Linked DNA regions of Nothobranchius furzeri. The protein of the gene in region 6 purifies or fractionates together with the protein of the main gene of each other region. This does not show direct contact. Links are inferred from orthologs where the notes say so. Each region holds a gene or a part of one and is shown on either strand. Other genes may lie near its edges. The genes, in order: nos1apa, casein kinase II subunit alpha', nfkbil1, snip1, ppig, RNA-binding protein with serine-rich domain 1 and upf3b.

The links.
Region 1: the proteins of RNA-binding protein with serine-rich domain 1 (region 6) and nos1apa purify together in Homo sapiens (co-immunoprecipitation; 3 studies listed by BioGRID and IntAct, with this or other methods). This does not show direct contact. The link is inferred for Nothobranchius furzeri from reciprocal best matches to the Homo sapiens genes RNPS1 and NOS1AP.
Region 2: the proteins of RNA-binding protein with serine-rich domain 1 (region 6) and casein kinase II subunit alpha' purify together in Homo sapiens (co-immunoprecipitation; 3 studies listed by BioGRID and IntAct, with this or other methods). This does not show direct contact. The link is inferred for Nothobranchius furzeri from reciprocal best matches to the Homo sapiens genes RNPS1 and CSNK2A2.
Region 3: the proteins of RNA-binding protein with serine-rich domain 1 (region 6) and nfkbil1 purify together in Homo sapiens (co-immunoprecipitation; 3 studies listed by BioGRID and IntAct, with this or other methods). This does not show direct contact. The link is inferred for Nothobranchius furzeri from reciprocal best matches to the Homo sapiens genes RNPS1 and NFKBIL1.
Region 4: the proteins of RNA-binding protein with serine-rich domain 1 (region 6) and snip1 purify together in Homo sapiens (affinity purification with mass spectrometry; 4 studies listed by BioGRID and IntAct, counting the BioPlex papers as one, with this or other methods). This does not show direct contact. The link is inferred for Nothobranchius furzeri from reciprocal best matches to the Homo sapiens genes RNPS1 and SNIP1.
Region 5: the proteins of RNA-binding protein with serine-rich domain 1 (region 6) and ppig purify together in Homo sapiens (co-immunoprecipitation; 3 studies listed by BioGRID and IntAct, with this or other methods). This does not show direct contact. The link is inferred for Nothobranchius furzeri from reciprocal best matches to the Homo sapiens genes RNPS1 and PPIG.
Region 7: the proteins of RNA-binding protein with serine-rich domain 1 (region 6) and upf3b purify together in Homo sapiens (co-immunoprecipitation; 5 studies listed by BioGRID and IntAct, with this or other methods). This does not show direct contact. The link is inferred for Nothobranchius furzeri from reciprocal best matches to the Homo sapiens genes RNPS1 and UPF3B.

What each region holds. Positions count from the first base shown.
Region 1 is NC_091748.1:76,139,026-76,142,525, forward strand, and holds part of nos1apa (carboxyl-terminal PDZ ligand of neuronal nitric oxide synthase protein), read left to right. Parts: intron 1-494; coding exon 495-660; intron 661-3,500. UniProt on the Homo sapiens protein: Adapter protein involved in neuronal nitric-oxide (NO) synthesis regulation via its association with nNOS/NOS1. The complex formed with NOS1 and synapsins is necessary for specific NO and synapsin functions at a presynaptic level.
Region 2 is NC_091749.1:31,588,393-31,592,641, forward strand, and holds the start of casein kinase II subunit alpha', read right to left. Parts: upstream 2,801-4,249; 5' UTR 2,475-2,800; intron 922-2,474; 5' UTR 820-921; exon of another isoform or gene 715-819; 5' UTR 652-714; coding exon 545-651; intron 464-544; coding exon 352-463; intron 165-351; coding exon 63-164; intron 1-62.
Region 3 is NC_091746.1:51,383,777-51,387,713, reverse strand, and holds nfkbil1 (NF-kappa-B inhibitor-like protein 1), read left to right. Parts: upstream 1-1,150; 5' UTR 1,151-1,229; coding exon 1,230-1,503; intron 1,504-1,586; coding exon 1,587-1,699; intron 1,700-2,468; coding exon 2,469-2,580; intron 2,581-2,670; coding exon 2,671-3,251; 3' UTR 3,252-3,437; downstream 3,438-3,937. UniProt on the Homo sapiens protein: Involved in the regulation of innate immune response. Acts as negative regulator of Toll-like receptor and interferon-regulatory factor (IRF) signaling pathways.
Region 4 is NC_091745.1:70,706,732-70,710,942, reverse strand, and holds snip1 (smad nuclear-interacting protein 1), read right to left. Parts: upstream 2,801-4,211; 5' UTR 2,658-2,800; coding exon 2,497-2,657; intron 1,855-2,496; coding exon 1,725-1,854; intron 1,651-1,724; coding exon 1,115-1,650; intron 1,030-1,114; coding exon 777-1,029; 3' UTR 298-776; downstream 1-297. Other genes in the region: dnali1 (axonemal dynein light intermediate polypeptide 1), read left to right, coding at 3,037-3,114. UniProt on the Homo sapiens protein: Required for pre-mRNA splicing as component of the spliceosome. As a component of the minor spliceosome, involved in the splicing of U12-type introns in pre-mRNAs. Down-regulates NF-kappa-B signaling by competing with RELA for CREBBP/EP300 binding.
Region 5 is NC_091754.1:20,285,307-20,289,350, reverse strand, and holds the start of ppig (peptidyl-prolyl cis-trans isomerase G), read right to left. Parts: upstream 2,801-4,044; 5' UTR 2,656-2,800; exon of another isoform or gene 2,460-2,655; intron 2,156-2,459; 5' UTR 2,141-2,155; coding exon 2,083-2,140; intron 1,671-2,082; coding exon 1,596-1,670; intron 1,508-1,595; coding exon 1,400-1,507; intron 1,176-1,399; coding exon 1,131-1,175; intron 1,044-1,130; coding exon 956-1,043; intron 860-955; coding exon 830-859; intron 743-829; coding exon 603-742; intron 523-602; coding exon 348-522; intron 278-347; coding exon 101-277; intron 8-100; coding exon 1-7. Other genes in the region: fastkd1 (FAST kinase domain-containing protein 1, mitochondrial), read left to right, coding at 3,600-3,934, 4,017-4,044. UniProt on the Homo sapiens protein: PPIase that catalyzes the cis-trans isomerization of proline imidic peptide bonds in oligopeptides and may therefore assist protein folding. May be implicated in the folding, transport, and assembly of proteins.
Region 6 is NC_091752.1:58,150,660-58,154,641, reverse strand, and holds the start of RNA-binding protein with serine-rich domain 1, read right to left. Parts: upstream 2,801-3,982; 5' UTR 2,679-2,800; coding exon 2,677-2,678; intron 1,775-2,676; coding exon 1,625-1,774; intron 1,529-1,624; coding exon 1,349-1,528; intron 1,270-1,348; coding exon 1,164-1,269; intron 862-1,163; coding exon 708-861; intron 611-707; coding exon 469-610; intron 395-468; coding exon 289-394; 3' UTR 1-288. UniProt on the Homo sapiens protein: Part of pre- and post-splicing multiprotein mRNP complexes. Auxiliary component of the splicing-dependent multiprotein exon junction complex (EJC) deposited at splice junction on mRNAs.
Region 7 is NC_091741.1:85,713,660-85,717,893, reverse strand, and holds the start of upf3b (regulator of nonsense transcripts 3B), read right to left. Parts: upstream 2,801-4,234; 5' UTR 2,675-2,800; coding exon 2,564-2,674; intron 2,341-2,563; coding exon 2,234-2,340; intron 2,158-2,233; coding exon 2,051-2,157; intron 1,964-2,050; coding exon 1,865-1,963; intron 1,719-1,864; coding exon 1,608-1,718; intron 1,259-1,607; coding exon 1,215-1,258; intron 1,121-1,214; coding exon 932-1,120; intron 859-931; coding exon 707-858; intron 621-706; coding exon 314-620; intron 223-313; coding exon 79-222; 3' UTR 1-78. UniProt on the Homo sapiens protein: Involved in nonsense-mediated decay (NMD) of mRNAs containing premature stop codons by associating with the nuclear exon junction complex (EJC) and serving as link between the EJC core and NMD machinery.

The DNA.
Region 1 (3,500 bases), on a different chromosome or scaffold from region 6:
TGAACTTTAAAAAGCAGCTCGGTGCGTCGGACCAGAGCCGGGGGAACACAGTGGGAGGAGAGGTTTGATTTTGGGAGGACTTTAAGGTCGGAGCAGGGAGTCTCTGCTGCTGGAAGTCATTTGACTGTACAGTCTGCCTCCTCTTCTATAAAAATCATTCAATGTGGGAAAGTTTTTTAGCCTCAAATGGACACGGAGCCTCGGCTTTAATCTTGGGGCCGCAGCAGGCCGCGGCATTAAGGTTACATGAGGATCACAACTGCCACTAATGCAGCTGCTCCCTTTATTAAAACCCTATAAACGCTCCGGGTTTTCAGAACAATGGACTGGAAAGAAGAAGAAGAAAATATCATTTCTATAGCGCCTCTCAAGATAAACATCACGAGGCGCTTCACAAAAATAAAAAATGTAAAAATATAAAGAGAATTTCGAAAATGGTTGAAACATTCCTGATTCTCTCGGCTTTCTTCTCCTCTACCTCTTGTTCCGTGCAGGTCCACCTGTTGAAGGACCAGCTGAGCGCCGAGGCCACGGCTCGGCTGGAGGCCCAGGCTCGGGTCCATCAGCTGCTGCTGCAGAACAAAGACCTGCTGCAGCACATCTCGCTGCTGGTTAAACAGATCCAGGAGCTGGAAACCAAGATGGCCGGACCAAATTCCAGTAAGTTCAAAGGCTCTGTGTGACAGAGATGTGTTGCCCTGCGTGAGGTAAATGGTGGCCACACCAGATACTGATAAAGCAAAACTGTACTTATGTCAGGGTGTCCATTTATTGTGGGCAGTTAAGGCACACCTGTACATTATTCATGTCCCTTTGATATGCCACACCTGTGAGGTGGGATGGATTTTCTTGTGACGTTTACACATTAGCGTCACACAAGATTATGAGGACACACACAGCAAATTAATAAAATAATGTGGTTCAGAGTCTCCAAAAGCAACACAGCTCATGCCCACCTTTGTTTACCTTACAACGGAGGACACTGCGGATGTTCCCGCGCGTCTTTAACTCCGCCCACAGGCTCGAGGATTTCCGCATTCCTGAGACGTCCCCCAGATTTTTATGTGAACACCACACCGCCCGTTCGAGGCCAAACTCACACCATCCAGCTCGACCAAACCCCGACCGTGCCGACGCTAATGTGTAAGCGCCATTGGTAAAGGGGAAGTGCTCACCAACACACGTAGACAGATTTCAGAACAACGTTTGAGAGTCTTGGGTCTATTGTGCATGTAGACAAAGTTTCAGATGTTTGGGTTCAGCTCATGAAAAATGGGAGCAAAAAACAAAAGCGTTGCATTTATATTTTTGTTCGGTGTAGCTAGTTTGAACAATAAACAATAATCCTGTTTCCCCCAGCAAGAGCAGCCATCTACGGCGCTCAGCCACTGTAGTCACAGGTGGGAGGGAGATCTTGGGAGAAGCAAAGAGTACATTGACTCCTACAGATTGATGACCTCGCCAGGCTGAAGTCCACCAATCCGTGTGTGTGTGGGGGGGGAGGGTTCACAGCATCTGTCTGCATCCCTTCGTGGGGGGTTTATTTGCTTGCAGCTCAAGGCTACCAAGGCGTCAGATTTGGATAACAAGAATTTGTTTGGGTCAGGCTGAGATAATTTTCCTCTCTGCCGTCAGTCTTTAAACTGATCACTCCAGTCCTTCAGTGAAGCCAATTCTGGGTTTTTAAGCCTGTCCATACCGTCCGGTGACTCTCCGAGATGACATCCATTTTGCGCACTAATACCGGTATCGCAGCTAGAACATTGTCCAGCTTACGATTCACCTTGAGTAACGTCCCAGTCTGAGAAGTCTCCACACGGTCGGTGCTTTCCGTGGGTGCGGGTCGCCCTCCAATCTCTCCCGTCTTCTTAAATTTCCAGAAAACCAGATATCCTCCCACTCCAATCAGGAGAAATCCAGTGATCATCATCAGGCCGAATATCCACACGTCTTCGATGTCCTCAGTGGACAGCTGGGAGAGGCATATGATCAACCATTCCCTCCAGGAATCCAGCATATACCCCACCGGGTGTGTCCCCTGTGGTCATGTGGGAGCCCCCTGCTCCGTTCTCATTGTTGAAAAAAATCATCGATCGCATTGAATGACCAGTTTATCAAATCCATGGTTAGTAAAAATAGAGTTTTTCAGAAGAAACGCAGAGAAGCTCTCTGTGGGCAGAAAGCACAAAGAGCCTTGGGAAAAAAAGATAAGGGAGCGAAAGAGAGAAGCGTCTGTACTCCTCGAGTGCCTTGAAGATCTACGTGATACAGGTGTTGTGGAAAATTATCTTCCCCTGAAACATTCTGCTTCCCTCAGGCATTCAAGAGCAAATGTTTCCAAATTCACATGACTTCTTGTCCATTATGAGGAATAAACTACCTCAAATAAAGACAGTTAACCTGACTGAGATTATTTCCTTTTACATAACTTTCAAAAATGATTAAAAAAAAGCTTGTTGGAACAAGAATGTCTTTACTGTACCTTTTTTTATTGTTTGTAGGAGGACACATAGATAAAGAAATACATCACAAGCATGACATTATTACATTGCATCGTTTTCTGGAGAAACAGAATATTTCAGGGGAACACAATTTCTCACACCTGACCTCCCGGCTGCTGTCACCCCTCGTCCGTGTGTGAATCTTGACCTCTTCAACATCTAACAGAACTATCTTGCTTCCTTCAGGACTGGTTGGTTGATCAAACATTCATAATTAACTAATTCACTGCCAAATTTGCATTTTTTTTTTACTGTGTGGGCGTCGGACGAGCCCCCACACCGTGAGAACAAACATCCCAGCTCCAAAGCCGATCTTCATCCGCATACGTCGCACGTCACGTGATCAGGAAGCAGAAAGTCCATGTGTTAGGAGATCCTTTTGGGCCGCTGCCGTAAAAAATGTGAAAATGCTGAAAAACGCTGGCAGTGATTGAGTTAAAGATGCTGTTTTAACTAGTCGAGCTTTGTGTGCTAGGCAAGGGAAATTGGAAATACACTTACACTGCTCACAAGAATTAAAGGAACACTGTTTTTATTGGGCCTGGCATGAAATCAATTAAACCTGTCTGATAATTTCCTGGTTTCCTGATTAAGCAGCTGAGGGCATTGTTAATCACTTTCAGCTGTATTGGTGTTCATGGACTTAAAGACAGGTGCACTAAAGTGGCAACAATTACAAAACCCTCACAACAGGACTGGTTTAAAACGTAGAGGTCATTTCAAGTTTCTCCCTCTTGATCTTTTTCGGCTGGTTTTCCACTCGTGCTGGTTTTGGCTCTCTACTGGCGGTATGAGGCGATTGCTTAACCCTACAGAAGTTGCACAGGTTGTCCAACTTCTCCAGGATGGCACATCCACACGTGCTGCAGCAAGAAGGTTTAATGTGTCTTCCAGCACAATCTCCAGAACATGGAGGAGATTTCAGGAGACTGGCGGTTATTCTCTGAGAGCTGGACAGGGCCGTAGAAGGTACACAACCCGTCAGCAGGACCGATACCT
Region 2 (4,249 bases), on a different chromosome or scaffold from region 6:
GACCGGATTAACGCGGCTGACACGCCGACATGCAAAACAGCCACAGCGTGTTTCAGACTCACCACTGGGTCTTTGACGTTGTCAATCAGGCGGATGATGTTGGTTCCACCTCGCAGGTTTTCAAGAATTTTTATTTCCCGTTTGATCTTCTTCTTCTTGACGGGCTGAGGATGAAAGGAGGTACAAAGATCCACTCAAAAAAGCTACATACAAGGAAAAATAAAGTCTAAGCACTTTGTCCGTGACCTCAGAACATGAAAATGGATTACTCAGACAATTGTGTAAGACAAATAAACCTACATACATGACATTTGTTACAGGATGGACTGCTGGGAAGTCAAGACATCTCACCTTGAGGATTTTCACCACAACTTTCTCATTGTTTGTTACATTTATGGCCTCAAATACTTCACTGTACTTCCCTCTGCCCAGTTTGCGCACCAGCTGGTAGTTGTCTTGGTTGCTGAAAAGAGAAAAATATTTTAAGTGTGAATAAAAAGCTGTTTGATTATGCTGATGGTAACTGTAGTAAGATATTCTGTACCTCCAGTTTGGCATGTGTGCGTCATAGTCCCAATACTCTCTGTTCTTCTGTGTGTTGACATCGGTGTACACCCGAGCCTTGCTGCTGGCCGGCGAGGATCCGGGCATCGCGAGCTTCGACGCTCCGTGTCGGGAAACTCCCCCTTCCTCAGAATACTTGTTGTCGCGATACTGGAAGGCAGCGCAGCGGCTGTACTGAGTTTGAGGCTCTAAGATCCCTGTGTTGTGTTTACCATTGGCATTGGCTGCTTGTGCTCTCTGGTGAAAAGCACTGACCTGGTCCACAGGGGTGGCTGTGCAGACCGACAAAGCTACAATTATTGACTGAGTGAAGCCCCTGAGACGGATGTTAGACAGGATGGGATGAAGAACCGCCAGCTGTTGGGAAAAAAAGAAAAGAGCAGAAAAACCTGGAAGTTATTTTTTTATTACCGACTTGGCTGTTATCTGCATATAACTGGTATAAAAATGGTCTAAAAACAACAAAAGTATCAAGTGTGCAGCTGCATGCAAATGTGCAAAGTTAGTAAAAATAAATAATCATTAAACAATTAGACAAAATAAGTTACAACTTTGGACTTTTCATTTGCCTTTAGAACAAATTATTGCAGATCAATTCTCAAGAAATTTTTAGAAAAATATTTCTAAAATTTAACAATTTTACATTTAAAATGATCTGTGAAAGCTGTGAATCAACTGCAGCTTATTCAGAATGCTGCTGCTAGAGCCTTAACAAGAACCAAGAGAAGCGAAACACATCACTCCTGTTCCTTAATCTCTTCACTGGTTACCAGTAAACTACAGAATCAATTTCAAAGTGATTCTATTAGTTTAAAAATCACTCAATGGCATGGGGTCAGAATGCATGTCGGACCTCCTTCAGGTACATAAACCCAGCAGGGCTCTGAGATCCTTAGTAAACAGGCAGCTGGTAAAACCCTGGGTCAGAACCAAACAGGGTGACGCTGCTTTTAGCTACAATGCTGCACACAGAATAAATCAGCTTGCTTATGACCTCAAATGTGCCCCAACTCAACTCATGTAACTTTTAAATGAAAATGGAAAACTTTCATGTTTTCATCAGCCTTTGAATGGCTGTTTATATAACACTGCACATTCTGCACTGTAACTGCTTTCTTCTTTCATTTTTAAATCTAAATTGAATTTGTGTGTATTATAATTGTGATGTCGTATTGATTTTAATGTTCTTGTTATTCTTGTTAGTTGGCAAGCACATTGAACCGCCTCTGTGTGTGAAATGTACCAAATAAATAAAACTGCCTTGCCCTGTTCTCTGAAAATCCCTAAAGACTTTGGTTGTGTAGATATGGGCTCAAAAATCCACATTTTTTTCAACTACTATGTACAATAAAATATATAAAAGATGTTTTATTTGATCAGATCGTGTTTCACTTGTTTTGTGATGTTGATCTTTACCTGATCCGTTTCCTATAATTCAACGTTTCTTTCGTAGCCGTTTTAAGTCTATCATAATTTTTTCCGACATATTAAAACTTCCCGTCACCATGTATGTCTTAGCAGTCGTTTGAGCTTATTCACACCTTTCTTAAATCGGTGTATACTTCTCTAAAGTAACGTGTAGCTCTGGAAGTCTGATATATTTGCTGTCTACAGATTCCTCTCCTCTAGGCCCGTTCATGCTCCATCACCGCTATGTTCTGGTTCTGAAGAGCTTCTCCTCTCAAATACACATTTAATTCCCTCAAACGGCTATGAAGGATGTGAACAACGGGCTACTCCACAAGCTAACTAGATGGACCAGTTGTAACTGTCAGGAAGATTAGGTAACATCCTCTGTTAGAAATTCAACTGATGCTAACTAAGCTAACGAGTAACGATTACCTGTTTAGTTTATACAACTTTAAAATACAAACTCTGCCTCAAAAATGTGGAATCACAAAGACATTTACCGTCTGAATTCACATCTTCTTGCATACGAAACACGAATTAACCGCAATAATTATCAGCGTCGTCATTTCGGAGGCTAAAGTTAGCCGGCTAACCTCGTCGTCGGAAGCTGGAGCGCAGAAAACGTCATCAATGGTCGTTGGCTCGCGGGTTAACTTTGATGTCCGCGCGGTGATGTAAGCCCAGCAGGTCCGAGGTGATTGATAATGTGTCTGATTGATTGACTCTGACTGATGGGTGGCGGTGGTGGTGGAGGCACATCCAGCAGTTCTGCGGTAAACATCACCCGGAAGTTAACCGAGACGGAGCTCCTCCATCAGCCAGAAATGTGTGTGTGTGTGTGTGTGTGTGTGTGGGGGGGGGGGGGGGGGGGGGGGGGGGACCAGAAAATAAAATTAATACACGAAATGAATCACCGCACCTGACTAGTGCTCTTCAGTCTGTTTGCACTTACTTTTAAGTTACGGGACATTTAAATATTTTCTTCATAAAGACTGCAATAAATGTCACAATGAAAATGTTTTTATACAATTAATATTCCTAAAATTATTTAAAATACGGGAATCTCGTAACATTATTCAAAAGTTTCATTATTCTATAATTATTTGGTTTTTTCACCATTTTTGTTTCATGGTTTAAAATCTACCATCAAGACTTTTTGGGAGTTTCTGAGTTTTTGAGAACCAGTTGTGTCTGTTTTCTGTGAGGGACAGACTGAGACATTACTCACTATGCCCAGTGATGTGCATACGACGTTATTTAACTTTATATTGTCTCACCGGCTGTTTTTCCTGCATATCAGCTGAAAAACGTTCAAAATAGCTACGTGTTTGTTTCAAAGTAGACAATGTTATCATAAACGAATTTACTATTAAAAGATGATTTCAAGAAGACTAAACGCCAAATCAATATTTGAGGAGACAAGATGGGCACAGAATTTTCCAGTATGTCAACGAATGTATGAATTAAACCATCAAACAATTTTAAAATAATTTTGGAAGTGTGGAGAGCTGGATCGTGTACGACCATCAGAAAAAAGTAAAGTAAAATAAATGTTATAGTTTGAATGTGTAGAAGCTGAATAGTAAAAATAAACTATGCTAAATAGATAAAACAAAATGTTGACTTTATCGTATATCTGCAATTAAACATACATTTGAATTATTTTACTTGCCATTACTAGTATCTTCATTATATTTGGAGTTCTAGAGTTTAACATTTTAGCTATGTCAAAACAAATAATATGTTATGTTACATTAAATTTATATTGGCAAGGTGGATTATCTAATAAATCTAATTTCTACAAATATGGGATTCCAGAGACAATAATGTGATATTTTAACTAAGTCTCCTGCTTTAAATTTGTTTTTATTCATATTTGTTGTGGCCAATAAAAAACAATCAACTTTACTGTTCATCAGCCGAACTGGTTAGATCATGAGCTGGAAAATAATTTTTACATGATACATTTGATGTAACTAGTTTTCAAGTCTAAAATACGACCAAATGAAATCTTATTTTTATCTTTTCCCAAATGAATTTGCAAGATTTTTTTTATTTGAATGTTCTTGATTCATTCATTTTCTTTGCAATATAAAACAAATTAGGGATGTAAGGATACATTGATACACTTAAGTGTCACAATATTTCGTGTTATGATACAGAATCGATCGTTTTAAGCAGTGTATAATTTTTTATTGCGAATTTACACACATTTAATAAATTACTTTTGCCTGTTGCAATTCAACCTCCGACCACTAAGTGGCAGCAGTTTCCA
Region 3 (3,937 bases), on a different chromosome or scaffold from region 6:
TAAGATGCGCTGAAGTGCCAAAATAGTGACTACACGTGTCTGCAGCACGATTAGACACGCATTTACTATATAGTTTATCAGAAAAAAAAGTTGAATTTGGGGGTGACTTGCTCTTCAAGGCAGACCTGCTCAAATTCTTCTATTGTTCCAAATCGTGTGCAAAATCTTGTATTATGAACAAAATAAACCTAGAATATCTTTATTTTTATAAACATATCAGTAATTATTTTATCTAATTTCTCAAAGCTCCTGGTAGATGCTTTTAAAGAATCTGTGGCTGCTTATGGTTGAAGCAGGATATTAAAAGTCGGAAAGTGTATAAATTATTTAAAACTCCATCACTTGTACCAACTTTCTTGTTATTTAAGGTCTAATCCAAAATGTTATCTAAAGTCTAGTTTTCAGATCCTCCTTGGGATTTTAAATGTGTGTTCTGGTGTCATTGAGAGAATAAGAAAAAAAAAGATCTCCCTGTTATTTTAAATAAAGGTCCTTTGTTCAGTTGTCAAGGATACAGTAAGACCCCATCGGTCACTACAGCAGCTGTTACAGTTGTTTCAGTAGATTTAGTCATAACATCATCAGAATGAGGTCATGGACATTAAATAAAGCATAAACAGTGAACGGAATCATGCAACTTATTTCTATCAAAGTGTCTTTGTACTAAATGAAGGGAAGAGTTTTGGGGGTTGTTTTTCAGCAACTTTTGTTATGTTTCATACATGCAGAGATACACAGGTGACCCTTTTAAACTATGTTTCCTGAACAGGTGCTATGAAAATGTTCTTTTTTTTAAACGGAAATATGTTTTTTTAGGTTTAATGTGGAATTTGTGTCCTAAAATATAATATAATATGGGGCATCTAAAAAGCAAATACGATTAACCACTCAAAAAACTTTTTTAAAGCAGAAATACAAATCTGAAGAAAACACCTGCATCTAATTGAAATGGGAGGCTACAGTAGATTTTTGCTGCAATCGTTAGAATAGGAGTTTGTGACCATGTTAACTTTTAGGCCGAACAATAAATTATTATTTTTTTGCTTGACAATAAACTAAAAACTACAGGCAACAGCTACATCTTGTGGTTTTGTCGGAACCGTTCTGTCTCCGGAACGTTTGTGTAGGAACCTTTCCGAAACCGAGAGTCGGAGCTATTAAACAGACGGAGCAACGGCCGAGGCCCGACGTAAATTTCTAGATACATATTCTGTTTGTTTGGACACAACATGACTTCCCACCGACATGCCCGGGTGTGGAGGTACGTGGAGGAAGGGAGCTGTTTGAAACTGAAGTCGTATCTGCGGAAGCACCCGGACCTGGACGTGAACTTCTCCCGGGGAAAGAGGCAGAGGAGCCCGCTGCAGTTAGCCTGCTCACTAGAAGACGACGCTATCCTGCGGCTGCTGCTCAAACACGGAGCCGATGTTCTCCAGAGGGATCGGAGAGGAGACACGGCGCTTCATGTCGCTGCCAACAGGGCCCTGAAACACGGGAAAACAGGTGAGAGAGACAAAAGGGGGTTCGATTTATAAAGGTCACGGTGTGTTTCATGTTGGTTTTAACTTCTTTGTTTTTATTCCTAGTTTATGATGACTTGGTCATACCTCTCAAAAAGTCATGTCCCGAAGCTTTAAACGCTCAGAACCGAGCAGGAGTCACACCTCAAGACCTGCTGAAATGGATGAAACATTCGGAGGTAAACAACGACTTAATAAAACTAATTATATCCAGTCCAAAACTCATTTTCATGGGGAAAAGACGTATTTAAACCTAAAACACTCAACAAAATATGTTTCCTTTATGCATCTTCTGTTTGTATCCCATTTATTTATAGGAACGCAGTTATTAAAATTCATGAAGAGGCAGCTGTAAAATAGGACCCCAACAGGAAAAATTCCCCCACAACAAGATAACACTTAATACTGAGAATAAAATATATACAGTGAATATAAGGATTAAAGCAAGAGAAATATAGTTTAAAAAATGTGTTTTTTTTTTTTTTTTTTTTTACAGAAAAGAAACCTGGACATTGTCTAAAGAGCAAGTCACCCCCAAATCAACTTTTTTTCTGATAAACTAGATAAATGCATGTCTACTTGCTCTTTAAATCACCCGTGGTTCTGGAAACCCGAACGACTCTTTTGGAACTTCCACAATGGCTTTTCATAACTTCGGCTAGAAACAGTAAAACTCTGACTGTTGTTTTGAAATATAAATGTAATGAAATATACAGGTTTATGCAGTTTTTTTGTTTTGTTTTTCTTTTCATAATGGTATTAAACTTTCACAACAGGCAAATACAAAATTACCTGCAATAGTTATAATCTATCATTTTCCGCAATTATCAACATCCCACTGTAAAATAAAATGGATGGAAACTTGTCCATATAAAGTTTCAGTTCTCTTGAGTAGATTTTGGTTTTCCTGCACCTTGATGTTTCCATGTGTTCTGGTATCTTTCTCAGATTTCAGACAACACGGGCCGCAGACTGGAGGCTGACACTGAGAAGGAGTGGCTGGAGAAGCTGTTTGGGGAATGCGAGGATGAATTTTCTGAAACCTTCGGGGTATATGATGGTAAAATCAGAATCGTTATTGCAATAGTAAAGTTTGACTGATGCTTTCTATTTTTATTCCTAATGTTGTTGCATTTTTTCCCCCACACAGCTGATGATTATCTACCTGTTGATGAAGAAGACGGAGACTTTGGGGACTGGGCCGATCGCATCAGAAGGGAATATTTTGACAAAAAACACTCTGAAGCTCAAAGACTGGCAAGTTCATCTTCTAAGGGGAAAAAAGAGAAAAAGAAGGAACAAGCAGAGGAAAGCCACAAGAAGCTGCATGAAAGGCTGCAGCGGGAGCATGAGGAGTATTTGGCTCGAGCTGCACGTAAAGAGGAAGAGACTCGGCTGGGAAAGAAGCTTCGATATGACGAAAAGTGTGCTGCTACATTTAATGGTTCCTCCACATCAGACAGCACAAAGCTGCGCTACAGCGACATCCCCTGGCCGTCTCCAAGAGGCACGGTCCATGAGATGGTGGATGTGATGCTGCATGGCGTGAACCGGAAAGATGTGGCGGCGTTACGTAAAGCGATCCGGAAACAGCAAACGCTGTGGCATCCGGATAAATTCGCTCAGCGATGCGAAGCTCGATTAGAGGAGAATGAAAAACGGAAGATTCTGGATACAGTAACAGCTCTGTCACAGGAACTCAACAGACTGGCTCAGAGTTTCAGGACTTAAAAATCACTCAATGTTCTTCATTGGGCATGTGGACATATGTTTATCATATTTATTGACAGCCTAGATTTCTGTTTTCATTTGAATTTTAGACAGCTGTAGTTTCCTTTACAAGGAGGCTCGTGCTAAATAAATTAAGAAAAGCTGCTTCAAATGCATAAATGCAATAAATTATCAATTGGAACAATTCTTGAGATCTGATATCTGCATCATATTTTTGTTTTTGTCCTTCCCTCCCCTTTTTTGTTACCCTTAAAAATAGTCACCTATAGGTAGTGTGTGTAAAGATTTATTTAAGGAAATAAATTTCACTTTACTGGAATTGATTTACAAATTTGGATCTAACTGTAGTGAGTTATTTTTATCAAGCACCCACTGGAAACTTGGCGCTTTTTCTTTGTGAATTTATAAAGCAGACAAGACATGAAATGTCTTCAAAAATAAATTAAACTTGGTTTGAAGAGAAAGAAGTCCAGCTGCCATGTTTTAATCCATCTGGGATTACTACAGATTAACCTTTACTAGTATTCGGTCTGGTTGACCTTTTCTTGGAGTTAATATTATGTGGTCAATAATTTATAGCTGTTCATCTGATTGCCTTATTTATTAAAGTATTTTCTAAATCTTGAAAGAAATTGCTATCATCAGAAAATATTTTTGCTACATGTAGTGCATGTTTATCTTATTAC
Region 4 (4,211 bases), on a different chromosome or scaffold from region 6:
ACATAAATGTGGAGCAGAGGTTTTAACCAAAAGATGGAGATATAATTATGGTTTTGGGCTGAAGTATCAAATTTTAAGTAAGACGCACTAAACTGCTAACCTAGTGAACTAGACCAAATTCTTGCTTTGCAAAGTAAATAATACATTTATTTAGTCTGGCTTGCCAGGCTACTAAACTGCCACATTAATGATTACACGTGTGTACAGCCCCATTAGACACTCATCTGTGCAAGTTATCAGCACAAAAAAAAATAGTTAATTTAGGCGTTACTTGCTCTTTAATAACAATCACAGAGATTTTTTTTAATAATCTATATTTTAATTTACAGTAGAAAAATGAACTCTTACTATCAATACACCTGAACTGACAAAATCAAACAGGGAAGTTTTTGTATAAATGATGCAGAAACACATAGCATCAAGTATTTCCCCTCCACTACAAAAAAAAGCAAAAAATAAAAATACAATTATTATATTCTGTGTATTTATGTTCATTAAGTCAATAAGAAATGCTTTCCTAAACATAAGGTTGGTTTTCCAATGATGTACCCTGACATAACACATGAGATCAGCCATGCATTAATCCTGAGAAAGGAGGTCTACTTGGAGACAGGTGTGGCAGGTTTAAGCAAGAGTTCAATATTTACACAATATACATAACAATCCAACCACGTGGTGTGAATTCCCACGCACAAGATACATCGCTCCACTTTCTAACATTCTCATTGGTCTTATCCATCATAAATGAATTTAGGCACAAACACATTGGGAGTAATTTACTCAAGACCCTCGTCTTCTTCTTCTTCCTGCTTTGCATCAACTTCGCTCGTGTCGGAGAATTCGTGCAATAGGACGTATTCGCGGCTGCTAAAGCCAAACTTGAGAACGTCTTTTTCTTTGAGCTCGTAGTAGCGCTGAGACTCGATCCGCTGGTTGTTCAGGTAGGTACCGTTGCCAGAAGCGAGGTCGATGATATAAGGCCTTACCCTGCGGCCAGTGGTGCCGTCTTTTCGAGTGTACTCCACTAACCTGCAGAATAAACAGAATCCTTAGTTGTATATTTTCCCCACAAATCTAATTAATCACACAGTGAAAACATTTACATACAACATACCTGTATTGGAATACTGCATGTTGCTTGGAGCAGGATGGGTGGTCGATGGGGATATCAGCGATCTTTCTTTGCCGCCCCAACAAATAGGCACTCTGTCTGTGAATGTACATGACAGGAAGGGGTTCATCATTCTTGAAAGGGTACAATCGCCACCTGCGCTTTGGAATTCGAGCTTCCTGTGGCTCGTTGTACTTGATCACCACCCCACGGAACGTGTTGGTGTCCTCTGTGAGAGCCCCTGACAATTCAAAGTTGGGCTTCTCTTTATCAGCAGGCGGTGCCCCCGAGTCGCTGCCGTCTCCCTCAGCTTGTCCAAACTCCTGTTCTTGATTTTCTTCACGCCGCCGCCGATTTTCCCTACGCCGCTCATCGTGCTGCCGCCGCTCAGCTTGCTGAGTCACTTGGGAGTTTCGCTCACGATGCCTCTCTCCATCCCGGTCCCCGGACCTGTTATGTTCCCACCTGCTTCGTCTTTCATCTGGCTGCTCGTTCCTCCTCCTCCGCTCATCGCCGCTAGATCTATGCTCATCACGCTCCTAAAACAAAAACACAAAACCTTCATGACTACAAGTTGAGACAAGTCAGTTTCAGTTTAGAATTTTATAATCACCCTCTTTATTCTAGAGTCACTGCTACAATGAGGGCTGTGATTTCTCTTGTTTCTGGGAGATCTGCTGTTTCGTCTAACAGGAGAGGTCTCCCTTCTGCCTGGTGAGCGGTCTCTTGTCCTCACGGGTGACCTGTGTGAGGAGCACAAAAGAGAAAACACTCTTAAGCCACTCGTATCAGTTAGGCAGCATTTACAAACTAAAATAGTAATAAAGTCATCTTTCAGTGTTAGAGATTGTAAGAGATCAGGTGTGGGAATTAAACAAGATTAATCAATACTTTGACTTTGCATTAAATATCCAAAATGTGTGTAGAGGATCTAAGATGTTAGTTTTTGATACCAATTAATAAAGTTTTGATTAGCTAAAACGCATGTTTTAGCTAATTGCCATTGGATTTTAGAATATTACTACACATTATAAGAAATTTAAATAAATGTAGCTATATAAACTATATATTTAGATGCTTTTGATTGTTTCTTGATTTGTACTCATTCGAGTAAGACAGGAGCTTGGTTAATAATCTAACTGACGTACTATAGGCACTTGAAGCTGAACGTGATATAGTTGTAAATACACGTGTTAATAACAATCTACTTACTGTGATATAAAGAAATAACGTAAATTATCTGAACTTTTTTTTTCTAAAAAGCATTTCCTTTGAAGATGTGTCAACTTAAGTCACATTTAAATTCAGTTATTAGAAAATAAAGAACATCAGATCTGAATATTATCACCTTGGTGGTGCTCAAAGGGCGACAAACGCGTGTTTACCTGCTGGTTCTTCTCCTCTGTGGACTGGAGTTGTCTGTGGATCTCGACCTCGAGCGGCGTGATTTCTGCGGCCTACTCGGACTCAATTTCTCCTGTTTTACTTTCACTTCCGGCTCTCGCGTGGGAGAATCTCTTCTCTTGTGTCGCTTCTCTTTGGCCATTTTTGAACAAAATCCGTCAACTTTTTGTGGCTACGCAAGCATAGTTAGCCACAGAAGCAAACAAACGCAAAACCCACCAAACGGTTGCTAAAGTTGCGTTCCGTTTCCGTTTGGCGCGCTGACAATTTCTTCCGACGTGGTATATGTGCTTTCAACTAAACGTTCCGCTATGATGACTTCCGTTCCGTTTAAAGATAACACGGATTAAATCATGAAAACTACAGATATTTTTATGAAGCCGTAAATTCAACTCCAAGTGGATTTGAGCTATTTTTCTTTTTTAAATTGCGCTTAGATCTTTTTTTTTCTGTTTTCCGGCAAACGCCCGAACGTTACCATGACAACATAAACAGCTATTTCTGTACATAAAGGCGTCAGGATGATTGAATTAGACGATTCTCTCTTGAAATATGACGATCCCGTTTTGGTTAAGAGGACAGCCTCAAGCTCAACCAAAGTAAGTCGGACAAACCCTAAAGGTGTGGATTGAAGGGGTACCATTAACGGAAGTTGTTGGAAGAAACACAGAGCAAAGAGATCCAGACTTTTTGTGCCCTACATTTTATTTATTTATTTCTACTCTGTACGGAAAAGGGAATAGAGCCACTGACAAGGGAAAAAACAACAACTGCTGCCCATCTCACAAACCAGAGCGGAAAAAAGCACATCGGCTTAAATTATACAGATGGGAAATAACGCCAGTTAATTACTTAAGTGTTGTTTGTGTGCTTGTTGTTCAGTAGCTAATGCTATAATTAATATAATCTGGCTTTTTTCATAAACCCCACACACTGTGCGTGATGCGCTTTTGGCAAGGCCGGATTATAATATGGGCAAACTGGGCACAGGCCCAGGGGCCCACAGCCACAAGGGGGCCCACGCAAGCAGCAGTCTTTTTTTTTGTGTGTGTGCAGCAGTCTCACTCGCCCCCACTGTCCCACAGATTGACAACATTTTTGTTAGTACAGACAGAAGAGAAGACAGGAGTGCTGTGAGGAAGAGAGACAGAAAAAGAGGAGAAAAGAGAGAGGACAGAGGAAGAAAGACACATGAGTGAGGCACAACAGGAAAATCATCAGGCATGAGTGTTAAGGGCTCAACACACGGGAGGCGACATCACCTCTCCTCCATTCATTTTCAATGAGACATGCGCGACAAAGCGATAATCGGGGGTCTCTCTCCTACTAAGCGAAACGCGAAAAACGTGCGTGTGAAATTTTGCACTCGTGCACGTGTCGTGCACGGACGACCCAGCGACGCGATCCCAGAAAGTTGAAACATTTTCAACTTTTCATCGCTGTCGCTCAGACGAGGACCAATCAACGGAGGTTTCATTCACTGACCAATGAGCGGACAGGATGCTCTATACACCTCCGAGCAAACATGAAGGAGAAGTTGATTATTATTATGTTTTATAGTAAAATCACAAGTAAGATTTCACATAACTCTAGCAACAACTTGTGAAACATCATATCTACCGCTTTATTAACTCTGAACTGCTTAAATAACCTTAATTACCTCCAACCTGACACAGCCAAACAAAACAACGGAAGT
Region 5 (4,044 bases), on a different chromosome or scaffold from region 6:
CCCCATGCTGCAAAGAGAAAACACAAACCAGACGTGAAAATGAGCAGACGACGGAATCATTTAGGACTTCAGACCTCTCAAATGCTTATAAACCACCAACTTATGTCTCGGTCGGTCTTCTCTCTTTCTCTGATCGTTTTCATCGGACCTCTGGACAGCTTGTGGACTTCTCCTCATGAGGAACCGATTCTCGGGTACGGGTGGTATTTCTTCAGGGCGCACCGTAGACGTAACCAGGTCCTCTTGTTCCTTTTCTTCCGCATTCTCAGCATCAGACCTGTAAACGTGTTGCACCTTATAAATATGACGATGTTTTTGCATCAGTCAAAAATGAGATTCAAATTTACGTTTTCTTATCCTTTTTCTTTTGTTTCTTCTTTAGTTTCTTTGCTTTCTTCTTCTCCTTCTTAGATTCTGCTCCTGATTCTTCTGAATCGGAGGACGACTCCGAGGAGCTCTGAGAGTCAGAGGAGTTCCCGCTGGAACTAGAGCCGGCCTTCTCTTTCTTTCTTTCCTTCTTTGCTGGGAAAATATTTTGGAGAGAAAATAAAACCAGTTGATAACCAGAACTGGTCTTTTACAAATGACCAGTTTCCACAAACCTTTAGATTTGGGTATGAGCTCTCCACAGTTAAGGATTTTCACATCTGCGTATGGTTTGCTGTTGGGATCTGTTTTCTGGTTCTCCATGGTTTGAACGACTTCTTGGCCAGAGATCACATGACCAAAAACCACATGGACACTAAAAACAGAAAAGGGAAATTATGTATTATGTGAGCTAAATAACAAAAAGCAATTAACAAACCTAAAATAATCAGAAGACACCTACCCGTCCAGATGCGGAGAAGGTTTTGTTGTTCTAAAGTATCACAGCAGGAATGGACAAGAGAGGGATTAAGTCAACATTTAAAGTACACAAATTAAACAATGTTTAATGAAATAAAATTACAATTACATGAAAAACTGGGATCCATTTGTATCTTTGCCCCGATTGGCCATCGACAACAGATACTCCTTGTTGTGCTTAATAGTGAAGCTTTCATCTGGGGGAAAAGACAAGATTGTGACACCACATTGACTTCAATGCCAGACCCGAGGATGAGTGTCAGTTCTGATTGGTGCTTCTTTACCTTCAAAGAAACCTCCATAGATGGATTCTCCACCTCTTCCATTTCCTGTATTGAAAACGTAAAAAAAAATTGAGTCTGAATGTTTTGCAGATGTTTAATTAGGACATCTGCATTCATACTTTGAGTGGTAAAAGATGAAATTCAGCTGGTACGTGCAGCTAATAACTGAAAAATCTTACCACAAGTAGACAATATTTCCCCAAATATTGTGAACACATGTAATGAACTTTCAACACCAAATCAAGCATCCTAAAGGCCTGATAGCCCACCTTCGCTGAAGTCTCCTCCTTGAATCATGAAGTCTTTTACGATTCGATGGAAAAGGCATCCTTTATAGTGCAGGGGTTTCTGAGTTCCTTTACCAAGGCCTTTCTCGCCTGGATGAAGCAACAAAAGCTTGGTAGTAACTGATCTGCATTTTTAATTCTAATAATTTACAAAGACTGATGAAAAAAGGTTTTTAACCTGTGCAGAGGCATCTGAAGTTTTCACAGGTTTTAGGGCAGATGTCTGAAAACAACTCCACTACAACTCTGCCAACTGTGGGGAGACACCAGAGAGTCACAGTTTATTTTTGTTTTCTCCACACAACTGTCACTGCAGTTAGTACAACTAACTATAAATATGCAGTTTAGACAATTGCATTTGATTTGAATGTAAATATGAATGCAATTTGGTTGGGGTGTAGAATTATTTTTGCTTGTCTAAGAACCTTGCGGTACATTTGTTACAAACATTTGAGCTCAAAAACTATGACAAAATACTTTGATATTAGTTGTCCTTACATATTTAATGGATTATTTGGCAAGAATGGGATACTTGCTATAAAAATAAACGAGCCCCAGTGAGATTTGGATTTATTGCGGCAACACACAAACGTTGAAATAAATGCACTGAATATAAATAAATCAACATAATAAATAAACATGCACGTAAAAAGCCTTAATCTCACCAAGAACATTACTGATTCCAATGTCAAAGAAGCAGCGAGGGCGAATCTTGATCCCCATGATCACTTAAAATACCTGTGTATAAATTACACAAATAACAGAAATAAGTCATATCTGGAAAACGAACTCACAATGTAAAAACAGATCCATCAAAAATAAGCTGCAGACGAAATTACTCAGTATGGCGTGCATCTTTTTGTCATTATTTAGTGCTAAAACAGATCTTATGTTTAAATAAAGGCACTGAGTGACGGGAATCAATGGTGGCGTTTGCTTGTTTATTAATTCGCTAGCTAACATTAGCCACCTTGAACCTCATTTGCGCATTAAATGATCAAAAAATACTGCTCAATTATAGAAAGAGTTGAAGTTTTCGTACTTGTTAAGCATAATTTTACCATGTTAACATTTTAACATCGACACGCTTCAGCATCGGTAGGCCTGTCGTCGGCATTAGCATCTGTTAGCGGCACAGCCACGCATGGCGTTTTTATTACTGTGTGAAACGTACCAGGTTCGAGATATTCAGTACACTGATACTAACGCGTCAGCTACGTAAAAAAAAAAAGCATCACCTTGAAAACCAAGGTCCATACAGTGAACCGTCCTAACGACAAAGTTTAAGTTTCATTCAGTGTTTAGCTCACTGTTTTCTAAAGATGGCGCGGCAGGGCACGTCGAGTCCTGCGCCAGTGAACGTCGTGGGGTATTTGATTCCTACGTTTTACCTGCCAGGCACAACATTTACACATCGATAACGCATACCCTGGGATTCAACTGGGTCATTTTGTGCGAGTTCACGATTCGACCACCGTAATCACGATTCCTCCAATATATGTTACCACTTTTGTCCATTAACTGGAAACATTTGCCTTATTAGTGTTCCGGTTGGTTCATTCGCTGTATCTTGGTTTAAACACTTTGAAACGTGCCCTTGTTTGATTCAAACTATACTCAGTTACGATCAGTTGTGGTGCAAAAGCACGACAGTAAAGACGTTTACACAAACTGATCTAACAAGAGTTGACGCCTGAAAGGCATTACCCAGGTAAAAATTCCTCCTCGTATTGCGTCACTTGACACGGAAGTAAAACTCCACTGCACACATGTAAGGTAATTTTGACTTTGAGGTGCATAACTGACTGCATCCTGTGTTTTCAATAGTAATTTATTAATTATTTAATGTGCTGAAATCTAGCTAATAACTCGTAAGTAAACGGTGATAAAACCCCGCTTGTTGGCGCATCCACGTGAGCACGGTGCATTTAACTTAGATGAGCAAAGTAAATGTTTCCTCCCATCTTTGAGATTAAGTCAGCATGAATAACTGATCCATGTAAGTCTTTTAGTATCATCACTCTCACATTTATTTGATTGTTTTTACTTTATGTGTTTTCAAATGATCTCCAGAAAAAACAAAATCTTGTTTTTTTTATGTCACGGTTCAGCCTTCCTCTGTGCCAACAGCTGGGAAATCACCAGAGAAATGAAGACCTAGCCTGAGCCCAGGTGTGTGAGGATGCATCGACTCCGATGTGTGAACCCCTGCCTCACACGGCTCCTTCATTGTGGTGCAGCAAACAGAACCCAGATCCTGGAGGGTCTGCGGGTCTGCTCCAATGAAGACCAGGTGTTTGATGTGGTGAGCAGGAACAAAGCCAAGCTGACTGTGGACCATGTCAGCTGTGCTGTGAGGATGCTGTGGCAGTTCCAGAAAGAGAGACCTGAACTCCTCAGGACCATTGACCTCACAAAGACTCACCCACAGTTCTTAACTCTCCAGGTTTTGGCAGAGAATAAAATTGCTCTTATGAGTGATTTAATGCTGATTGACATACTTTATGCTTTCCTCAGGTACTTCAGCATCATCAATCTGTTTAGTGACTATTTATATGAAATTTAGTTGCTGCATAATAAATGGCCCTCTCTTGCATAGGCTGAAAGTGGAACCACACGAATCTCTT
Region 6 (3,982 bases):
TCTGTTTCTGCATCTTTATTTTTTAAAAGTTAAAAGGACGTAATACAAGGTAAAAGGAAACAAAATGTTTGTAGATCCCGGTAGAGGCAACATAAAACTAAGCTAACTTTTCTGAATCAACTTAGCACAAAATTTAAGAAAAAATCAAATGGAACAGAAGCACTCTTGCTATGACCACACATACAGCGTAGATGATGGCATTTCTACTGAGTCAAAGGAGTCTGAGAAAACGAGGGTTGTAGCTGATCAGCATCACAGCGTAGAAAACCACATGACATCTGAATGAGTTTATCTGGAGGAGTTGGAGCTGGAGCGAGAGCGATGGCGCCGGCGACCAGGAGACCTGGAGCGGGAACGGCGACGTGCCGGGGATCGTCTCCTTGGAGAACGAGACCTGAAACAACAAAAACGGCATTATTACCTGTACACGTGTGTGTGTTTATGGCTGAAACTGTCTGTAGGCGATACCTCCTCCTCATGCGTGGTGGGCTGCGCCGCCACATAGGAGGTGGTGGGGGCATTCTGCGAGGAGGAGACAGTCTGCGAGGTGGTAGACGGATCCGTTGAGGCAGAACAGCAGCGGCTGTGATTTCCTGTCCGTCAATCTGACCTGTTTTTATAATAGTCATAAAAAATAATCAACACACAGAAAAGACCCCCAGTGTTCCTGAGACCCAGAGGCTGTTAAATTGAACATGCACACCAACCTCCGTCCATGTGTTTAAGGGCCTTCTGTGCCTCCTCAGGGGTCTCAAACTCCACATAAGCATGGCCCTTGCTCAGGTGTGGGTGCATCCTATCCATCTGCATGTCAATCATTTTGATTTTTCCATAAGTGGAAAAGATCTCCTGGATGTGATCCTGGTACAACAGAAATAGAAAGGTCAGATATTCTCTCAACTTTGACACAAAATTATCTTGATGCCAAACAAATAAAACAAACTCTTTATTTTCTCCTTTTTGTTTTGAGCAGAGCATTGCTGATGACTAACACACCCGATGCACACAAGAAAATCTTCTCAGATTTTATCTTTAATTACTACACATTAAGGATGTGCGTGGCTGTTCTTGTGCACTTACATAACCTTGAGATTGCATCATAGTCTCAAATAAAAGCAGACATGATGAGAAAGAGAAAGCAGATGTTCTTCATTTAAGCTAACCTTGGTAACGTTTCTGGTCAGCCTTCCTAAGTGAACCTTAGTGGGTTTGACAATCGGGCTTCGTTTCCTTCGCTCTTTGTCCTCTCCTCTCTTCTGTGTTTTAGACCTGAAAAATCAGAAAGCAGTAAATAAATAACTAGAAACCAAAAGTCATCGTAAACACTGAGACACGAACAAAGACTTACGGTGATCGGGAGCGCCGGCGGTTGTCATGGCGCCTGCGGCTGGGGCTCGGCGAGCCAGAGGAGCTGGAGGAGGATGACGATCGAGAGCTGGACGATCCAGATCGACTGGTGCCAGAAGAGCTGGATCCACTCGAGGAACCTGAGCTAGAACCAGAGCTGCTGCTGGATGATGAGCTAGATCTGGATCCGGTCACAATCAGAACAAATGAAATGGTTTGTTAGGAATTTTTAGCACAGATTTCTCTAGTGATATAACAAATGAGAAGGAACTCAGACCTGCTGCTGCTGCTGCTTCCAGAAGAGGCACTACGACGTTTCCTTACTTTGTCCCGTCCTCTCTCTTTGTCTCCTTCCTTGGTGGCAGTCTTCTCTTTGCCCCTATCTTTAGATTTTTCTTCCTCCTTCCTTTTCGTAGGAGATGGTGCCCTAAAGTGATGTAAACATCTGTTAGTTTAGTTGTTTTACACAAATGGATTTAACAAATCTAAGAGCTACAAATTGTGGGAATGTTCAAATTCATGCAGAATTCAAATCTGGGTCTAATCTGTAATCTCAACAAGCTGAAAATGAAACCCAAAAAGTGTATTTTGTGTTTTCTGTCAGTTAAAATGAAACACAAAGCAACATTTTAACTGTTGTGTTTAATCTTTAATGCTAAGGAATATTTCTTTAGTGTGATGCACTACCATTACTGTGGAATTACCACAGAACGCTAAGTTGTTATTCCAGCTGTTAAAACAACAGACTAGTCAATAAACTTCTGTCTCTTTGTTTAGAATAATTAAACCCCAGTAGGTTTATTTCCTTTTGTGCAACAAAGATTTTTATAATTTTATTTTCTTGAACATTTATCAAAACTACACTGATGTCTCAATTTTAAAATAAATCCCTTAATGTAAAAGCAACTGATAAAAAAAACTAATAACGTTTTTCTCCTAATATTACACAACTTATCTGGCACCAAAAATTCAAGCCGTAAGCTAGCTGAAAGAGACTAAACACGATATACATGATTTATAACTGAAATAAATAAAAACAATCCACATCACACATAGTTTAGGGAGCACCAAATGTCTGCTGGAAATCGTAAACATTTGTTATGTTATTATAGGAAAAAGCAGCACTCAGGCAGAAATCCGCCGCCAACGAGTTTCATTCAGCCCGCTGCCTCTAAACAAGGAGAGCTCCGACCATGCCGTTAACCGATCACTCAGCTCTTCACGCAACAAGCACACGACGGTAAAACACGCCTGGGTTTTCAGAGTTGATTAACTAAGCATCACAACTAAAAACGGACAGTTTTAAGCCAGGAAAGAGCTCAAACCTACATTTTTTATGGACGATGTAGCTCTGCTTCCACCACTTGCGGCCTGTTCGCTTGTCGACGGTTGATGACGCCAGCGGAAGTTGCGTTCCTGCTTGAGCGCCACTTACAACTCATTTGTTTATTTTACGACGTTGACGGTGAAATATCAGCTTGCATTTCCGACATCTCTGTAGAAACACAGACGGACGCGCTTTTGGATATGAAATGAGTTTGTCAAGTTTGAAACGGTGGTGGGGCTTCGCTGTTGTTGACAGAGAGAGAGAGGTACATTAATGACAGATGTTGTTGACAGCTAGCTCAGCTAGCATCTGTTTTCCTGTAGATATGTGTCCAATGTTGACATGTAGATGCGGTTTGAGCTGTTGCGTTGCTGTAGCGCATTACGCGTTAGGACAGTGTTAACAGCTGTCTTTAAGAAGACACAGATCACAGCCATTGACGGACTGCATCAATAAATTCATATTAATCTGTTTTCATTGAGAATGGAAGTTTTGGGGCTTGGTTTGTGTTTTGAAACGTTCACCGTTTGGATTTCTTTTTTAAGGATTCCGGAGTAAAAAGGTGAAATGATCATGCATCATGCCTGTAATTTCACCATGGTTTAACCAGGATTTATTAAGTGAGCTCATATCCACATGCGTGAAACAGCCTCATGCTTGTTTTATAAAAGATTAATTATTTGGTCTCCTGATTACTGGAGTTGATTATTTGTACCTTTCAAATAACCATGTTTAACTGAGGCATTAATGGTCCATCTATTTTCAAGAAACTCCTGAAGACCCTGCTCTTCAGAGAACATCTTCTAAACTAGCACCCTCCCTGCACCCATCCCCTCTCTACTGTCCACTCCTTGTTCTCCATGATTCATCATGCTGCCTCACTGCCACCAACTGACTGGAAATTGTTTGTTGTTGTTACTGTTGTTGTTAGCCTCAAGGGCAACATGCTGATTATCACTTGTAAGTCACTTTGGAATCCAAAGTTTGGACTAAAGCGTCTGCAAAATACATAAACATCTATCTATTTAAATGGATGATTAAAAAATATTTAACCTGAGGTTTTGTTGCAGCCATGTGACTGGATGCTACATACGGTATGTTGATTATACATGTTCATTTCTGAATCAAGTGTGAGCTGAAAGTAGATTTTTATTTGCAGAAACATTATTTCATTTAAAAAAACTTCACTTTTCCTAAAATCTGGTTTCAATACCTGCACAGCCCTAAAACCTACATTTATGTCCCATTCACTTGTGCTTGAGATCATGAAGTAAAACGTGTGTGTAGATATGCTGATGAAGGTTCTCA
Region 7 (4,234 bases), on a different chromosome or scaffold from region 6:
CGTGGCTCCGAGACGCCATACTGCTGCTCGCAGGCCTGTCTCTTCACCTAACTCAAATGAACAAAAGCAGAGGTCTGCTCAGTCGTCTACTTTCTCAGCCACGTTCTTGCTCTCAGTATCTGGTTTTCTGTCGGCAGAGTTGGATTCTCTTCTGTCTGCTCCTGGTGTGGCACGGTGGCGGCTCCGGGCCCCTGGCTGGTAAAGCTGAATGGCGGGTCGGTCCTGTTGCAAATAATATAAATAAAATATTACAAAAGGAAAACAAACTCAGAAATTATTTGGCACAAGTGTGAGAAATAACTGGAGTCCGTACCTTATTCCGCAGTCGCTCCCTTTTGCTGCTCTCATCCTTTTTGTTCTCTTTGGCAGCCTTCTCCGTTTTCTCACCGCGAGGGGAATCTGCCATGTTTTCATTCCTCTTCTTCTCCAACGCCTTTTCTTTTTTAATCTCCTCTTCCCGCTTCCTGAACGTGTTCTCTCCATCATGCTGCTCCCTCCTCCTCCGTCTTTCCTCGTCCTGCCGTCTGAAGCGCTCCTTTTCCCTCTGCCGCCGCTCCTCCCGCTCTCTGTCTCGATCAAAGTCCCGCTCCCTGAATTCCTTTCTCCCACTTTCATCTCTTCTAAAAGGAAATCACAGCTGGAGTTAAATCAGTTAAATGTACAAACAAAAGTGCAAAATGCCAGGAAAAAAAGAACAAGAACTGACTTTCTTTCACGATCCTCCTTGTTCTCGATGTTATGTCTCCTCTTCAGATCACTGAATGACCGGACCTCTTTATGTGGCTTCTCTGGTTTCTTGGACTTCTCTTTAGGCTTTTCAGACTCTGCTTCATCATTTCTATCTGGTTTCTTCAGGAGCTGAATATAAAGACACAATCATCATGAGAAACTTGAAATTGACAGATGCATTTTTTTTTTTCACTGCACGAACCTTAATTTTTGGTTCTTCCTTAACGTGGTCCTTGTCTTTCTCCGGCAGTTTCTCAAGTCTTTTCATCTTCTCAGCCTCTTTCCGTTTTCTCCTCTCCTCCTCCCTCCACTTGCGACGCTCTTCGTCACGCAGGCGCTTGCGTTCAAGCTCCCTCCTTCGTCTCTCCTCTCTCTTTTCCTCCCTGATTCTCTGAAAGTTAAAATAGAAAGTTTGATGGATTCTTGCTAACATGCAGTTGAACCAATTTATCCTAAACACCAAAAAACGATTACCACATGCTTACCTGTTTATTCTTCAGGTAGTCCAACAAGGGCGTGGTCTTTTTAGCTAAAAGAAAGGGGAAGAAACCCACAATAAGAAATCTTGTCAAATGCAATGCTCCTGTTTACATACAAGCAGTTATAACAGTCCCATTTTTGGTTCTTTTTTAAACACAGATAAGGTTTTTCTTTACCTTGCTGACGTTTCGTTTACGGCTGCAAACATCTTCAGAGCTGACGCTGATGGTGGCGTCACTTCCTACACATCCACATCAGCGGCAGCTCTGAAGATGTTTGCAGCCGTAAACGAAACGTCAGCAAGGTAAAGAAAAACCTTATCTGTGTTTAAAAAAAGAACCAAAAATGGAATTTGAAGACAAACACAGCAAGTGATAACGGTGCTGTCATAAACAAACCTTCAAGTTCTTTTGATCTGGCCTCGATCTCCTCCAACAAGGTCTCAGGCGTAGATGTCAGCTTCTCTTCGTCTCCGTTGTAATATTCAAGAAATTTTTTATAATCAGGATCTGATAAAAACACAAACATGCTGAGCTATAGATTTTTATAGATAGATCTCAAAATAGATATGTTAGGGACGAACATGGAGTTTCTTCAAGCTTATTTCTTTTTATAACAGAGAAGATCAAAACCACCAGACAGTTTAAACCCTTGCCTTCAGTAATTGTTCCACACTTCGAGTCCTTCTTCTTACTTCTTTTCTTGGCTATCTTTTGAAACGGCGCAAACTCCACAATGGCTGGATACTCCTGTCCTGTTGAATGGCCAAACATAAACAAGGACAGTCTCAGGTCAACGCTCTGGAACACTTCACAGAAAACTGGGTGTGTGTTCTTGATACCTCTGTTGTCTATGAACACATATCCATCGAATCGATCTCTGAAGAGAACAATATCATCTTCATTTTTGAAACTGATGTAAGCCCTCGCGAAGAGATGGGGATACAGGCTAAAATGACCGGAAGTGCCATGTTAGACCAACACAATGAAGGAAATGCTAACAGTCATTTTACAGGTGAACTCACCTGGTGTCGTTTGAGAAAAACTCCATGTAGTCCACCTCTGGGAGAGGCTGCAGCTGCTCCTCTAACTCCTCTTTAGACAGACTTGGTGGTAATCGTCTGATTACAATCTACGAACACATTGTAAAAAGTTCACTACCTTAATTACTAAGCAGGGCTTTGTAAAATGAAATTTTGGTCCAGTCTTTAAATGTATAATTTCAATCGTAGAACATTTTATCTGAAAACAAAAACAAAACAAAAAAGTTAAACCATGCTTTTATTTAATAGAACTACACGAATCCAAAACTGACGTCTGTAGCAACATTAGCTGCTTTAGCTAGCAAGTTTTACCTTTGTCATGGCCTCTTTCTTTTCTTTTGACTTCTCAGTCTTTTCTCCATCTTCACACTTTAGCTCCACTTTTTTCTCCTTCGGTCGAGTGTTTTCTTTGTCTTCTTTCATAGCTGAACGTCTACAGAGATCCACAGCCTGCTCTCATCTCACTCAACAGACTTGTTTACTTTTCAGAGAGTTAGCCAGCTAGCAGCTAGATACTAACCGCTCGAAACTTCCTTTCTGACTACTGAAGCTGCATTTACAAGTTTTTACCAGGAGGTGGCGCTAAATACAAAGCAATTACACATTTAAAAAAAAATGTTTTTGGTAATTACTATTTTCGGTAATTACTGGTAATTATATTTTTGTTAATGTCCATTCTAAAATATTTTTCTATAGTAAATTTTTTTGTAGAGCTAGGGTTAAGTCTGATGTAAAGTTAAGATTGAGATATGTCTACTGTCCACTTAGTGACACTAGACATCTTTTTATTGGAAACATTGCATTGTTTCCCTATTTGTGTTTCAAATTTTCCTTGTTCGTTACTTTTATGTATTTGATTAATGTATTTTGTGATACGTTTATCCCACGACCCTGCATGGACTAACAGGTATAGAGAGTGGATGGATGATACTTTTATTTTATTTATCTTTTAATAGTATTACCAAATTGTATCTTTATCTGTTTATAAAGTTACTCTATCTATCTATCTATCTATCTATCTATCTATCTATCTATCTATCTATCTATCTATCTATCTATCTATCTATCTATCTATCTATCTATCTATCTATCTATCCATCCATCCATCCATCCATCCATCCATCCATCCATCCATCCATCCATCCATCCATCCATCCATCCATCCATCCATCCATCCATCCATCCATCCATCCATCCATCCATCCATCCATCCATCCATCCATCCATCCATCATCTAGTAAAGTAAGTAAGTAAATTTATTTATATAGCACTCATCAAAGACAGAAAACCACAGTGCTTCACATAGATCAAAACAAAACAAATCATAAAGTCATAAAATCATAATGATCTTAAAAAAAGATTAAAACAGAAAAGTTAAGTCATTAAATGATAAAATACCATAAAACAGATGAAAGATGATTTCTAATTTTGAGTTAAAAATAAGAAAATAAAAGATTTAGGTAAAAGTAGCTTTAAATAAAAGGGTCTTTAGCTGTTTTTTTAAAAGTGTCTAAACTGTCAATGCTACATAAAGATAAAGGAAGATCATTCCAGAGTCGGGGTGCAACAGTCTGGAAGGAGCTATCCCCTCGACTTTTATATCTGGTCTTTGGAACATCTGGAACGTTCTGGTGAGTGGACCTGAGGGCTCGGATTGGAGCATAAGGCTTTAACAGTTCAGTAATATAGGGCGGAGCTTGACCATGTAGAGCATTGAAAGTTGTCGTCGTCGTCTTCCTCCGCTTATCCGGGTCCGGGTCGCGGGGGCAGCATCCCAACTAGGGAGCTCCAGGCCGTCCTCTCCCCGGCCTTGTCCACCAGCTCCTCCGGCAGGACCCCAAGGCGTTCCCGGACCAGATTGGAGATGTAACCTCTCCAACGTGTCCTGGGTCGACTCGGGGGCCTTCTACCGGCAGGACATGCCCGAAACACCTCCCCGGGGAGGCGTCCAGGAGGCATCCTGACCAGATGCCCAAACCACCT